Linked DNA regions of Neurospora crassa OR74A. The protein of the gene in region 3 purifies or fractionates together with the protein of the main gene of each other region. This does not show direct contact. Links are inferred from orthologs where the notes say so. Each region holds a gene or a part of one and is shown on either strand. Other genes may lie near its edges.

The links.
Region 1: the proteins of NCU00971 (region 3) and NCU03732 purify together in Saccharomyces cerevisiae (affinity purification with mass spectrometry; 3 studies listed by BioGRID). This does not show direct contact. The link is inferred for Neurospora crassa OR74A from reciprocal best matches to the Saccharomyces cerevisiae genes RPS15 and SIS1.
Region 2: the proteins of NCU00971 (region 3) and stk-52 purify together in Saccharomyces cerevisiae (affinity purification with mass spectrometry; 3 studies listed by BioGRID). This does not show direct contact. The link is inferred for Neurospora crassa OR74A from reciprocal best matches to the Saccharomyces cerevisiae genes RPS15 and RIO1.
Region 4: the proteins of NCU00971 (region 3) and NCU01820 purify together in Saccharomyces cerevisiae (affinity purification with mass spectrometry; 3 studies listed by BioGRID). This does not show direct contact. The link is inferred for Neurospora crassa OR74A from reciprocal best matches to the Saccharomyces cerevisiae genes RPS15 and CRM1.

The regions. Positions count from the first base shown.
Region 1 is NC_026505.1:2,238,621-2,242,808, forward strand, and holds NCU03732 (SIS1), read right to left. Parts: upstream 2,822-4,188; 5' UTR 2,387-2,821; coding exon 2,307-2,386; intron 2,144-2,306; coding exon 1,402-2,143; intron 1,327-1,401; coding exon 1,033-1,326; 3' UTR 274-1,032; downstream 1-273. Other genes in the region: NCU03733 (hypothetical protein), read right to left, coding at 3,808-4,188. UniProt on the Saccharomyces cerevisiae protein: Required for nuclear migration during mitosis. It is required for the normal initiation of translation. Might mediate the dissociation of a specific protein complex of the translation machinery. Essential for viability.
Region 2 is NC_026503.1:5,215,431-5,219,497, reverse strand, and holds stk-52 (serine/threonine-protein kinase RIO1), read left to right. Parts: upstream 1-1,226; 5' UTR 1,227-1,472; intron 1,473-1,604; 5' UTR 1,605-1,617; coding exon 1,618-3,249; 3' UTR 3,250-3,736; downstream 3,737-4,067. UniProt on the Saccharomyces cerevisiae protein: Required for the final endonucleolytic cleavage at site D converting 20S pre-rRNA into the mature 18S rRNA. Required for the final steps of cytoplasmic maturation of the 40S ribosomal subunit.
Region 3 is NC_026501.1:6,539,540-6,543,687, forward strand, and holds NCU00971 (40S ribosomal protein S15), read left to right. Parts: upstream 1-1,317; 5' UTR 1,318-1,503; coding exon 1,504-1,518; intron 1,519-1,711; coding exon 1,712-1,788; intron 1,789-2,104; coding exon 2,105-2,401; intron 2,402-2,463; coding exon 2,464-2,533; 3' UTR 2,534-3,081; downstream 3,082-4,148. Other genes in the region: NCU00972 (arabinogalactan endo-1,4-beta-galactosidase), read left to right, coding at 1-235, 300-750; NCU00970 (hypothetical protein), read right to left, coding at 3,082-4,081. UniProt on the Saccharomyces cerevisiae protein: Component of the ribosome, a large ribonucleoprotein complex responsible for the synthesis of proteins in the cell.
Region 4 is NC_026502.1:2,299,427-2,301,796, forward strand, and holds the end of NCU01820 (exportin-1), read left to right. Parts: coding exon 1-1,213; intron 1,214-1,276; coding exon 1,277-1,514; 3' UTR 1,515-1,855; downstream 1,856-2,370. UniProt on the Saccharomyces cerevisiae protein: Receptor for the leucine-rich nuclear export signal (NES).

The DNA.
Region 1 (4,188 bases), on a different chromosome or scaffold from region 3:
ACCTAACAATGTCGTTGTCCCTCTTGTTTGTACTTTCAAAAATCCCGTGATGAGAGCCAAGATGAAGTGAAAAGTGGACAAGTTGAATCATCGTTCTTCGCAGTTGGATTCGGCCCCGCCGTGGCTTCCCCCCCTAAGATACGTACACGACTGTGTGTTTATTTGGCCAACTTGTTGTAGCTGGAACTTGCACATATTCCCACATGTCGCTCCGCGTCGTCTTTCAGCAAGTTATGGTTTCTCTCCAAGGTCAAGTCGAGAAAGGGAGAGATTTTCTGGGCACATTGATTTTCATTCTGTAGTAACTATGTCCATCTATCGGTTCTAGCCACCCCGCTTGGTAGTCTATGGTCACGATCAATTTTCTCCTCGTGTGTGTCGTTTGGTGGTGGTGACCGAGGATTGTCACCTTGAATCCATTCCGAGATGCAGTAGTCCAAGCCGTCTTCTATAAAAGATATAGCCATTTGATATCTAAGCCTGCTATGGTATTCCCATTGACGTTGGCCTCGCGTGTCTCTGGCTATTGTTGAACCTTGAGAGGACGCAACATGCTAAGAGAGACCAGCGCCCTTTCCTCTCCCAACATTCACAACAGGGGGCCTAAGAACTTTTGTCGGGGATACTCATTATCATGAAAATTGTCATCATCAGCTCCCACCACACATGCCGCCTAAACCAACAATACCAATCTCAATGCGAGCCTGACGCGATGAAAGCTGAGCACCAAAAGAAGAAACAAATCCAGTAACGCCCAAATATGGTGGACCATGGTCAAGAACCGCACATGGCGGACAGAGACCAAAGCAAATGCCCCCCGGGTAAAAAACAAATCCAACACGCCCACCATTCTACATACACTCAAGGGGGTGGATCCGAACAGGTTCCCGAATGTTGTCAAAGGCCGGCGTTAAAAGCTGTTCTTCAGGCCAATCCAAGACTGCTGGTCCCTTCCTGTTGAGGCGACAAGAAGGACAAAGGTATCCGAGAGTGAACTACCACAGAGAACCGATACTCATCGCTTGACCCCATTTAGAGGATTTCCTTCAGTTTTTCCTTTTGTTCAGGCGTCAAGCTGGTGGGGAACTTGACATTATACTTGACGATGAGGTTGCCCCGTTGGCCTGGTTGCTTCGAGATGGGCATGCCCAGGCCCGGATATACATCTTGGCTCCCAGGTTGTGTCGGGCCGGCCTTCTCAATGTTAATGCTCTTGCCGTCGATCGTCGTGATGGTTCTCTTCCACCCTGTCAATGCCTCCTTGAGGTCTAAGTCGATAGTATGAATTAGGTCGTTGCCGTCCCGAGTGAAAAGCGGATGTGGTTTCTAAAACCACATTGTCAGCTGGCCATTCCTTCAAAAAGGCAATGCGTGAAGAAAGGGAAGGGAGTTTATACGTACCTCTTCGACGACGAACACCAAATCCTGCTGGCCACCCTCTTCTTGATCACCAACACCCTTGAACCGGATTTTGCTACCCTTCTTGAGGCCGGGCTTGATTGGTACCTCCAAGACGGTATCGCTCGTCGTGCGCTTACCGGTCTCGTCAAAGGTCTTGCGCTTGATCTTCATTTTCTTCGTCGTGCCGTGGAACAGATCCTCAAGGGATACGGGTAAGGGGCGTTCAACTGTCGTGACTTCGGGTGTTGCTTGGCGGGCGCTGCGCATGTTGTCGGCGCCGCCGAAGGGGTTTCTCGCAGTTCGGCGCTGTCCTGCACCACCACGCGCAGCATTAAAGAGGATGTCTTCAAAACCCATTCCGCCCATGCCACCACCCATGCCACCACCCATGCCGCCGCCCATCTTTTCATCCCGGAAAGCATCCCGGAAGAGGTCCTCGGGGTTGGTAAAATTGAATCCATAGGAAAATGTTCTCGCACCTCCTCCGCCACCAGGCATGCCTCCTCCTCCAAAGAAAGAAGCAAAGCCCTCGGGCATGCCACCAGCTCCGGCAAATGGGTTTGCGCCGCCCTCAGTCGGGGGCGGGCCGCCTCTCAGGATAAATTCAAGGCCGAACTGATCGTACATCTTGCGTTTCTCGGGATCCGAAAGGATTTCATACGCCTGAGAGCACTCCTTGAATTTTTCGGCAGCCTCCGGGTTGTCCTTGTTCTTGTCGGGGTGCCATTTTAGGGCGGCTTTCCTGGTGAGGGGTCAGCAGGGGTCCACTGAAGGCTGTAAGAGAGGATGATGTGAATGCCAAAGTGAAAGAAGGATGGCGTAGGAAAGAGGAGATCTCTCCCTCGATCTTATACTGCGAGATGCGAGAGCAGTTATGTGGGGTTTCGGGTTGGAGATATGCTCACCTGTAGGCTTTCTTGATCTCGTCCTGGGTAGCCGTAGGGCTGATCCCTAGCAGGTCGTAGAGCTTCGTTTCCTTGACCATCTTTGTGACGCAATATTAGAGACGAGTGTAGTGTATGTGAGTCTAGTAAAAATGTAGAGGCTGTTTCGCGAAGCTTGATCAGAGCCGCGAAGTGTCTCGGCGGTCGTTAGGTGCAAGGGAGAACAATTAACCCGACGTGTTCTGTGTTGTTGTAGTGGTACGGGTAGGGTAATTAAGGTAGAGTGAGGTAGCGATGACAGATGCGTATTAGACGTTAGCGATTCTATAGCGCTCGTGGGTCCTTTGGATGGCTCGTAAAGCGCCTGTCAAAGTCGATCTTGATGGAATGCGCGAGAGCAAATTCGCAATGCAAGAGTAGGGATTTCAGATATTGAACAGAATTGAGATGCAACACAGAGTCGGAGAGGAAGCTATCACTTGGTGGAAGAGGGAGGGACAAGGCCATAAAATGCCTTGGCGAAGGGCGTGTGTAGCAGGAACAGGAGGTTGTAGAACCTTCGACCGTGAGCCTATCGGCTTCCAAGACCTGGAGATAGTGACGCAGGGCTCGCGTAGTGGGTACATGCTAAAAGTAGCGCCTGTTAGTAATCTTCATGTCCCCGAGCAGTTTGCTGCTGCAGGGAAAGAGTAATACTAACAATGTAAGTCCAGGCCAAGTCCCCACTAACTGATGCGGGCCGCCAAGCCAGCTAGCAGGAAGGGAAGCTCCATTAAGTAGTTGACCTTCGCTTGACCTCAGCGAAACTGTGCTAGCAGTCTGCTGAGCGGTTGGGACGCGTCCGGAGCACCTATCAAAGATGAACATCATCACCCAGCACCTTCGATGGGCTGCACATCACCAGATATTTGAAAGTTAGATCCAGCTCAGTTCGTCATACCAGTATACCCATTCGCCCGCAATCCCATTCTTCTGGTACTCACTCGCATCGATGAAACAGGATGGATTGCCGTAAATCATGATCGCGATTCCAATCAATCATCCTTACATTGTGCCTTATTACAAGGCAACGAAGAAGGTTGCACAACCTCATGGAAGCCAACAGCAAGCAACGGCCGCACTCGATCTTTTAATGACAGCCCCATGATAAGGAAAATCCGCGACAACTCCACACAAATGAGGCCTGGATAGCTCACCATAGAACTTGTAGTCAGGAGCAGATCAAAGTCAAAGCATGTCTTCAAGAACTTCTCCATATGAAGGATTAAACTAGTTCGTCAAATATGTGTCATCAACCACCAAGGAGAAGCAAAGCGGGACTCTATTTCTCGAATCACGACGGTACAGAGCAGATCTAGAACAAGTTAGACCTGAGGCCTACTGTCATGACTTTCCAAATAAGCCCGGTTGACCTGCTCTGATGACCCCTGACGAAGGCAAAAAAAAAAAAAAAAAAAAGGTGCAAAAACACGCCAAAACAAACACCGAGAAGAATAATCCACGTTGCTCGGTATGTCCTAACTCAAACCGCTTCGTACACATAGAGAGTCGAATTCCTTTCATCGGGCAGGAAGAACAGCCTCATCTTACCGTCCACGACAGCCACATCCATTGGATTCTTGGTCATTGCAGCACCATGTTCCGACACCAAGGTCACAGGAACCTCGTGTAAAGGAACCATAGTTTCCATGTCCACTATCGCGATACCGCCGATTCTCGTGTTCGCCAAGTCTGCAACGCCAGAGCATAACATCACTGGCCGGGTCTCGTAAAGCTCGTAACGACCCAGGAATTTGCAATCCTGATAGTCAATGAAGCTGCTCGGATTCCTGACCACTGCCCGCGGCTGAGTGAACTTGGCGGGCGCCAGATGCTTGTCGTGCCCGTTCCAGATCGACGCTTT
Region 2 (4,067 bases), on a different chromosome or scaffold from region 3:
CTCGGAGGGAATAAAGAAGCGAATGTTCGACATGAAATGGGGCAGAGCATCAAAGCAATCTATGGAAACTCCGAGCATAAAACAAAGTTTCCGAATAGATCTCTAAGGCCCCGGGTGACCTTGACCCAAATGACTAAATATCCCCCTAGCAACCTCATCGCCATTACTGTTCCCATACCAATCATGCTGCGGCCGAGCAAAGGGGACACAGCTCATCAATCCGTCTTGAAACGAATAAGTCAGTCATCAACACCCGCTTGCGGGTTGGGCAGTCGCTGCTACTGGCATAGCAGTAAACCCGTCTTCTAGTGCGCTCGAACCATCGTCGGTACAGCTGCCCTTGCTCGTTGACCCAGCCATAGCCGGCTGGACAATCGGCGCCATTACGGCAAAAGTGATGTTCCATGTAGGAGTGGCACATGGTGAGTGAAGTTGTGAGCCCGTTTAGGCAAGGCTGGAATCCCGATGGGGGTTGCCGGAATAAAATAAAAAGGGAATTGGGAGACGCGCCTACCTATTGGATGTTGGAAACTGTGGCCCTGTGCTATTATATGCTCCGTGTTGACATCAAGTTGCGGCTCACACATGATGTAAATATGTTCATTCCTGAACTCGGGTGGTCGATGACCCATTATCCGTTTGTTGACGTGGGAGTCATCAACGACCATGAATCGAATCATCTAAACGCGTCATGTCAATGTATGCCTGCAGGATGAGGTGGAAGCAGGCCAGAAGGTCGTGATGGGTTTACTTTGATTGCAAGTCTCCATCGTTTCCATTGATGAGACGCAAATATCCAGAGGTCATATACCAGATTTGACCGTGAGTAAAATGGAATGTAAGAAGGATGATGTTAGGTTTCCCTGTAATTACCCGGGACCATGGTGTCCATTGCTAGCTTGATGACTTTGGGGATCGGCCTATGCCCCATGGGTGGAGAATTGGCTTTTGGGTGGTCGCCCCTTTTGAGCACTAACAGCTGGGTTCTGTCCAACAGGGAAGCGTACACTGGGTGCTGTTAGTGCTGTTGGCGTTGATTGAGTCACCGGCAGAAGTAGGTGTGTTCCGCACCGTGTTGAGATGTCGAAGATGCAAACCAAAGCTCAAGGAATGAATGTGGAAGTGGAATGAATCAGAATGATAGCGTCAGCATCATCGCCTAGCGTACTAACTATTAGGCGACAAGCTCACTCCAGTGGCAAACTGGTCGCCATCGGTGCAGGGGTGCAATGTCTGTACTCGGAGAGGCAAGAAAAGATGTTATGAATGCTGAAGCCTAAAGTGAGCCGAAGACTACTTAACAAGCAGCCATATCATGTGGAACGGAAACATCCAAGAACATCTTCAGTTCCATTCCAATCCGTCTTCGAGTCGAGTCGTCGTCAAGAACTCGATACTCACGGATTACCCTAACCCTGAATCTCGAAAACAGCCCTACCACTGGAAGACACCCCGCATTACGATAAGATAAGGTAAGCTCGCCCCACCAAGAAAATTGCCAGTGGACGGGAAGTGGAAGTTCGCAAGTTCCATGACGATTTCCATTTCGTCTGCCATCCTGTCTCATCACCACCTGCTGATATCGGCGGAACTGACGAAAGCAGACTCGGCAGCAAGATGGCGTCCCAACCAGAACTCACGTCGACCACAGCGGCGACCGACAACCAGAATGTCGACCTCAGCAACACCACCGCCCAGCTCAACAACCTTGCGATCGAAGAGGAAGACGACGACGACGACCTCCAAGATGTCTTTGAATCCGACGATGACCTCGACTACGAAGATGGCGGCACCGACCTGACCAAGTCGTACAACCGCCAACAACATGGCGCCGGTGCTACCAACTCTCAGCAGTCCCAAGCTCAGGCCCAGCAACAAAAACCCACAGCCAACACGTCGGCCCGCGTCGACGACCAGATCGCCGCCCTCTCCAAGTTCGCCGGAAAGATCCGCATCGACGCCTTCGACAATGCCTCCGGTCCCGCCGAGCGCAGCAAAGACAAGTCCGATCGCGCCACCTCCGAACTCGTCCTCGACCAGCGCACGCGCATGATCCTGCTGCAGATGATCAACCAGGGCTTTGTCTCCGAGATTCACGGCGCCATCAGCACGGGCAAGGAAGCCAACGTCTACGGTGCCATACTCCACCCCGAGGATGGCTCGGCCCCCATACACAAGGCCATCAAGATCTACAAGACGGCCATTCTGGTGTTCAAGGATCGCGAGAAGTACATTACTGGTGAACACCGCTTCAAGAGCGGCAGTGAAAAGGGAAACAACAGGAAGATGGTCAAGCTCTGGGCCGAAAAGGAATTCAGAAACCTGCGCCGTTTGTACACAGCCGGCATCCCCTGCCCGGAGCCCATCAAGCTCAAGCTGCACGTGCTCGTCATGAGCTTCTTGGGAGATCGCAAGGGCTGGGCCTACCCCCGTTTGCGCGACGCTCCCATCTCGGGCGACGACGCCGATGAACAATGGCGCGACCTCTACATCCAACTCCTCGGCCTCATGCGCAAGCTGTACCAAGTCTGCCGCCTCGTCCACGCCGATCTGTCGGAATACAACATCCTCTACAACAACAAGAAGCTCTACATCATTGATGTTTCCCAATCCGTCGAGCACGACCATCCCCACTCGCTCGAGTTCCTGCGTATGGATATCAAGAACGTCGGCGATTTCTTCAGGAGGAAGGGTGTCGACACGCTCTCAGACCGCACGATTTTCGATTTCATCGTCAACCCCAAGGGACCGGCCGAGGAACCCGGTATGAAGGAGACGGTCGAACAGCTGTACCAGACGAGGGTGGAGGTGGAGGATACCGCGGAGGCCAGGGCCGAGCAGGAGGTCGACAATGAGGTTTTCAGAAACCAGTACATCCCCAAGACGCTGAACGAGGTTTACGATATCGAGAAGGATGTCGCCAAGGTAAACGAGGGTCAAGGAGAGGATTTGGTATACAAGAACCTGTTGGCGGATCAAGTGGTGCACAAGACGGCGGAGGATCAGGAAGAGGAGGAGTCTGATGAGGAGGAGGAGGGCAGTGGTGACGAAGAGGAGGGTAGTGATGACGAGGATGACGAGAGCCGATTCGAAAAGGGAACACCAAGAGGCAAGAGGTTCATCGACAAGGACGAAAAGAAGCAGCACAAGGCGGCGGTTAAGGAGGCCAAGAGGGAGAAGAGGAAAGAGAAGATACCCAAGGCGATGAAGAAGAAGTTGGTGAACAGCACGTCGAGGAGGAAGCACTAAGCTGTGGTCGTCTACAAGTATCAGCTTTTCTTGGTTTCTTTCTCTTGTCTTGTTTGCTAATGGGCTCGGGTATGGCTTCTATGGCGCTAAAAGAATAATGGATCATGTCATCTTCCAGCCTGCGTATCCTGCTTTGATGCGTTTGGCGTTTCTCTCTCATACCTCACCCCATCCCGTTTGATCTGGCTACACTTTTGGCCATCATCCCTTGCGACACAGACGCAGCAAGTAAAGCAACCGGATGATGAAAGCAGTAAAGCCTGCCTGAGATTGTCGTCTCCTCAAACGAGCTTGTAATGGTTTTGCCTGTTTTCAGGGCGAAGCCTCCTGCTTTCGAGTAGAGACACTTTCTCAGAAGGCAGGTCTGAGTCGCTGGCGAGCCACCTAAAGAGTGGTCAAGCCGGGCTATGACGACCAAAGAGAGCACTGACGGTCTGCTCCCATACTGGGCGCCTATTAATCCCATGGAGATTCCAGTAGTCTCCTGTTGCCTTTAATATGTACTTATAAAGAGGAAGATGCCTCTACTATACGCTCCCCATTCCCCTTTCTTTATTTCTCCTTTTTTTTATCCCCTCAGTAGATGTTTCCAGTGGTGATATATTTTGAGAGGGCCGGAGTTGCGCTGTGGCGGGAGGGACCTTTCAGGAACGTCGGAGCTTCTTACTTTCAGTGGATGAAAGTAAAAGGCTTCTTTACATATCTTTCGAGATTGACGGCCAACCTCATAGCCAACTTCAGTTTTTGCGTCAACCTGGTAAGCGTTTCTGGAAGGGGTGCGTTTACTCGTGGATGTGATCTGAGCCTTAAAAGAAGAA
Region 3 (4,148 bases):
TGGCCTGGAAGCTATACAACTACACCTTCGATGCGTCGAACCAGTTCCATGATAATGGTGTGCAACCGGCCATTATTTCCATCGGCAATGAGATCACCGGCGGTCTGCTTTGGCCGACGGGAGGCACTTCTTCGTGGTATAACATCGCGCGCTTGCTGCACTCAGCGTCTGCCGGTATTAGAGACTCGAGGCTGAACCCCAAGCCCAAAATCATGATCCATCTTGACAACGGATGGTAGGTCCCCTTGCTGTTTAAAACCGGATCCTGTATAGAGCTAACATCTGGCCAACCACCACAGGAACTGGGACACCCAGAACTGGTGGTATACAAATGTGTTGAAGCAAGGGCCTTTGGTGTCTTCCGACTTTGACATGATGGGGGTCTCGTTCTATCCCTTTTACACGCCCTCGGCGACTCTGTCGTCCTTGAAGTCAAGCTTGACAAACATGGCGAACAGATGGGGCAAAGAGCTCGTCGTTGCTGAGACCGACTGGCCAAGCTCATGCCCAAACCCGGCATATGCGTTTCCGTCAGACGCCAAGAACATCCCCTTCAACGCCGCCGGCCAGTCGCAGTGGATCAAGGCCGTGGCAAACGTGGTAGCTTCTGTGCCCAAGGGCAAGGGACTGTTCTATTGGGAACCCGCTTGGATTCACAATGCCAACTTGGGCTCATCGTGTGCGAGTAACAGTATGTTCTCGAACTCGGGGCAGGCCTTGTCCAGTCTGTCAGTGTTCCACAACATCTGAAGAGGAGCGGCTGAGGATGAGAAAGGATATGTAGAGGGGAATTCAGGTCCTGCGGATGTCCAGACTAGGGTGGTAGATAAGATAAGAAGCACAATGTGACCTTGGTACATAGTTGCCTGCCTCCAAAAACACCAATTGTGAAAAGATGACGAGAGGCAATGCGTGACCGGCGAACTGCTGGCATGCTTGATGCTTAAATATGTGTCAGGCCAATGCTGTGAATAAACTTGGTGCTCGGACTTTTGACCAAAAATAGCGAGGAAATTTGGGAAATGACAGAATGTAGTCATCCGGTGGTTGGCTTCGTACCGGGATGACACAGCGGGAATGAATGAGGTGATGATGCTTCATCCGTCCAGTCGCGACGAAGACCGCGTTACGTATGGTGATCGGGTGTGTACTAAAGCAAGTACCGTGATGGCCAGTGACTATCAAGAACCTGGTGCGCCACAGGTTGGCTCATGCCGGATTCACAGCAAAAACCTTGGTTGTCCAGCCACATCCATGGCCTCAGCCACAACACAGCTCAAGCGCGCTGGGGCGGGGCTGTTGAGGGCACAGAGCCCTACGAATTTTCCCCGGTGGGTCCTACGGACAGACGTGCACCGCCCACCCGCCGCCACTGGCTAGAGGTTTTGCTTGCTGTGAGGGCCGGAATCCTAAATCCACTCCCATCATCGCGACAGTCAGATTTTCGCTCTTCGATACCCCGACGAACAGCGAAATCGTGATCACCAACCACCTACCGCAAAGATGGCTGACGAATACGTACGTGCCCTTCATTTTATGATAACGATGATGCCAAACACATATCATCGTGTACTTCCCAGCGGACGGCGGCCATAATCGAATTGGTCCCCTCCCGACGACAACGACCACACACACGCACACAAAATTGCACACCCTCAGAATGAGAATGAGGAAAATGGGCAGAACGGAAGACTGACCTTTTACGCTGTAGAACGCCGAGGAGGCCGCTGAGCTCAAGAAGAAGAGAACCTTCCGCAAGTTCTCTTACAGGGGTATCGATCTCGATGCGTAGGTTCTCCCGCTTGTTCGCCATTTTGAGATTCCAAATTCCGAAGAGAGCAAGCCGGCCAGCCAGCTAGACGACCAAACCAAACCGACCGGGAATATCACGATATATTTCGAGCCAGACATGCGACGTCATTCCATTACCGATAAGAGAGAAAAGGGGAAAGCGGCACTCACTCGACATCAACAATTACTGGGGGATTGGGCAGTTTTGGATGGCTCGGTCGGCTTGCTCAAATCAGAAGGGAACATATGCTGCGCTCGCGATGCGCCATGACACATGAAAGCACATGTGCTGACAGCAACCTCTTACGTGCAGTCTCCTCGACCTTGGCTCCGATGAGCTCCGCGATGTCGTCCACGCCCGTGCCCGTCGCAGGATCAACCGTGGCCTCAAGCGCAAGCCCATGGGCTTGATCAAGAAGCTCCGCAAGGCTAAGCAGGAGGCTAAGCCCAACGAGAAGCCCGACCTCGTCAAGACCCACCTCCGTGACATGATCGTTGTCCCCGAGATGATTGGCAGCGTCATCGGTATCTACTCCGGCAAGGAGTTCAACCAGGTTGAGATCAAGCCTGAGATGGTTGGCCACTACCTCGCTGAGTTCTCTATCTCCTAGTACGTTATCCCCTGCCCCTGTCGAATAATCAGGGAGACGTGTGTGCTAACTACGGTTACAGCAAGCCCGTCAAGCACGGTCGCCCCGGTATCGGTGCTACCCACTCTTCTCGTTTCATTCCTCTCAAGTAAATGCTCTGGGAAATGGGTGGTACTTGCATTTTGTCTCAAATCATGGGTTCGGCGAAAACGGACGCGGGTTTGCTCATTTGGTCATGGCATGGACAAATGTGCCAGGGACTATCTTAGTTTTGACGAGATAGTACAAACGAGTAATGATGAGTGCAACGTTCTAGGTGATCACACACATAGCTCTTGTCCGCGGTTTCCTTGATTGAGCTTTGCTGAATGAGGAGAACAATAAAACAGAACTCCCTTGGATTATCGTATCTAGCCTGCCTTATTCATCACTTCGCAGATTGATCCTTTCTTAGTATCAAGATTTGAATATAAATCATAAACACACATATCCCCGTTACGGAACTCTAACCTACCCTCGCTGACTAGGCCGTTTCCCAGCATACCAACGTCATCGAGCATACAGGTCCTCATCTGTTAATCATCCTACCAGCCCTCTGCTATGGCCTTGCCTAGCCTCACCCATCCTGCACTACTCAACAGTCACCATCACGTCCTCAACCTCCTCCTCAACTCCCTCAAGCGACCGAACGCACCGTCCCTCACAGCACGCCGCAACAATACCCCATAAAGGTATCCCTACACGTCGCACATTCACACACGAACCCTTTTTCCTTTTTCCCATAGTCCCACGTCAGCTGCTCGCCTTCTTTGATATCCCTCCTAGCCTGCACGCAAATGTGTTTTGGTTTCACAAAGTGGGCCAGCCCCGAGGCACCAATGCGCCACTCGCAGTTTGGGCCGCGCTCGGTACGCTTGCGCGCCACGTAAGCCGAGGAGGAGGAGGAGGAGGGCGAAGTGCAGCAGTGGTTGATGAGGGAGCCAAGGAGGTAGATGCAGGCGTCCGAGTTTGTGGTTGGTGTTGGGGGTGTGCTTGTGGATATTGATGCGGAGGCTGTTGAGGATGATGTAATGGGCGATAGAGTGTTGGTGGTTATTATTGTTGGTGAGACCGGGGGTGATAATGGTGAGGGCAGATGAGGGATGTCGGTCGCGGTTGGGATAGCGGTGGTCCGTTTAACCTGGAAGGCATAATGTTTGAAGAAATCGTGACACGCCTTTTGTCGGTCTTCCTCCGTCGGGTTGGCGATGAGCATCTCGCTCACGCCAGCCACGTACGTCTCGTACTCTTCCCGCGTGATGATCGAGCCGGCAAACCGGCCGTGCACGAGGTTCCTGCCAAAGAATTTCTTCCTTGAACTGGTCACGTCGGGCTCGATAGACTCGGCAGAGAAGATGGGCTCAGCGTCTTCCCAGGGGGCAGGCGGGATACCGTTGCGGGCGGCGAGTATAGGGAAGGCGAGCGTGACGATGTCTTGGCCGCCGTCGGCTAGGGCGGCCTTGTAAGCCTGGTGTTGGCTGTGCATCAGGGAGACGTCGGCCGAGAACTTCTCGTTGAAGAGGGCCGTCATGAGAGGCGCCTCGTGGAAAATGAATTCGTCCTTAGTAAAGTCGCGGGCGGCGAAGAGGCCATAACCTACGCCGGCGCCCACCAGGCCGATGCGTACAGCCGGAGCATCCTTGGGCGCGTTACGTAGGAATCTGGCTGGCAGCTAAGTGGACGACATATCAGCAAGGTGTCTGAAAAGAGAAGCAGAGAAAAAATAAT
Region 4 (2,370 bases), on a different chromosome or scaffold from region 3:
ACTTTGTTGCGCTCCAGCCTAGCGAGTCTCAGCCTTTCATTGAGGAGATCATCAGGGACCTTGGCAAGATCACTTGCGACTTGACTCCTCAACAGGTACATACTTTCTATGAGGCTTGCGGCTACATGGTAGCTGCTCAAGGCAATAGGCACCAGCAGGAAAGGCTGCTTTCTGAGCTCATGCAGATTCCCAATATGGCGTGGCAGGAGATTATCAGGCAAGCTAGCCTCAACCCTAACATCCTCCAGGATGCGGACACCATCAAGGTTATTGGCAACATCATGAAGACCAACGTCTCGGCATGCTCATCTATTGGTACCTATTTCTTCCCTCAGATCGGCAACCTCTATAGCGACATGCTTCAGATGTATGCCGCCACCAGTCAGCTGATTTCTGAGGCTGTTGCTCGCGAGGGTGAGATTGCTACCAAGATGCCCAAGGTCCGCGGGCTCCGAACCATCAAGAAGGAAATTCTCAAGCTTATTGAGACCTATGTCGACAAGGCTGAGGACCTCCAGGCCGTGCGGGAGCAGATGGTGCCTCCTCTCTTGGACTCGGTGCTTGTTGACTACAACCGTAACGTTCCTGGTGCTCGTGACGCTGAAGTCTTGAGGGCCATGACCGCCATGATCACTAAGCTCTCGGCTTTGATGGAGGACCAGGTACCGATCATCATGGAGAATGTCTTCGAATGCACGCTGGACATGATCAACAAGAACTTCTCCGAATACCCCGAACACCGTGTCGAGTTCTTCAACCTCCTCCGCGCTATCAACCTTCACTGCTTCCCTGCGCTTTTGAAGCTTGATAACCGTCAGTTCAAGTTTGTTATTGATTCGTGCATGTGGGCTAGCAAGCACGACAACCGCGACGTTGAGACTGCGGGCCTTAACATGTGCCTGGAGCTCGTCAACAACATTGCTGAGAAGACTGACGTTCAGACCTCCAACGCTTTCTTCAACCAATTCTTTGTCAGCATTCTGCAGGATGTGTTCTTCGTTCTAACCGACCAGGACCACAAGGCTGGCTTCAAGACCCAGTCCATGTTGCTCATGCGCATGTTCTACTTTGTCCACCCCGCCGATGGCTCGCCCTCGAGGATTCAGGGCCCCATTTACCAGCCCGATCAGGCCCAGCCAGGCACTAGCAACAAGGAGTTCCTCACCATGTTCGTGGGTAATCTGCTGCAGACCGCTTTTGCCAACCTCACGCCGTAAGTTTTCTTCCCCACCTTCGGACCTTGTAAGGTACCGAGCTAACCAAAAGTGCAAAACAGTGCCCAGATTACCTCGTTTGTTGAGGGACTCTTCACCCTTAACACCCAGTACGACAAGTTCCGCCTCGCGTTGCGTGACTTCCTTATCTCCCTTAGAGAATTCGCCGGCGACAATGCCGAGCTCTACCTCCTGGAGAAGGAGCAGCAAGAGACGGCGGCCAAGGCGGCCGATATCGAGAGGAGATCCAAGGTCAGCGGCCTGCTGAAACCCAGCGAGCTCGAGGACGATGAGCTGTGACTAGTTGGAGAGGAGCTTAGGAATGAGTTTGCGCCGACTTACGAGTCGCGCCGAAATGACGTACCACCAGAGCAGCCACACATGAATGGGCTGGCTGGTGCTGGTGATATGACGAAAGGAAAAAGAAGCGGCGGCGGCAAGGATCACGACCAATTCGGTGGCGATGGATGGGAGTTCTATGGTCTGTGAAATGAAATATGGCGGCGTTCTTTTTTCTTTTTGTGTTTATGTAAGTCACCAAATCAGTCGTATTTCTTGTATGAAACCCAACCCGGCATTTTATCAAGAGCCGACCCGCTAGAATCAGCCAAATACTATTGAATGAGTAGCATGCTGCCAGCCTCTTGTATCTGTTCCTCTCACTTTTTGTGTTATTAATCATAAGAAGATTGGGTGGGTGGCAGTACGCTTGTCTGGTTCACATCCGGAGATTCAAGGGTGATACTTGTGAAGAGTAGTCAACAACACGACAATGGGGGGAAGGTGTTGCTGACCGACTTGGTTGTTCCGGCAAAGTAGCCAGTTGGTGCGTGGTGCCCTCATTGCTCGCCTTCCTGCGCACATCCTTTGCAGTGGTCTGGTGCTAAGACGCTTCAGTGTATGCCGACTACATACCGATAACAAGTTTAGACACTTGTCCAATATTCGATCGTTCTCTTGACGCACTGCAGTCCGTCCACCAGAACAGCAGGTGTCTATTTTTTTTCACACTCCAGAACTGGTCTCATCTGAAGCTAGTGATCACCTTTTACTTTGAGTTGTGTTTTCACTCACTAATTGAGTCACGGCATTGACTTTTATACCTACCTGGTGAACTGACTGGACTGGGTTTCCATCTACTTTGCATCTTCTCTTT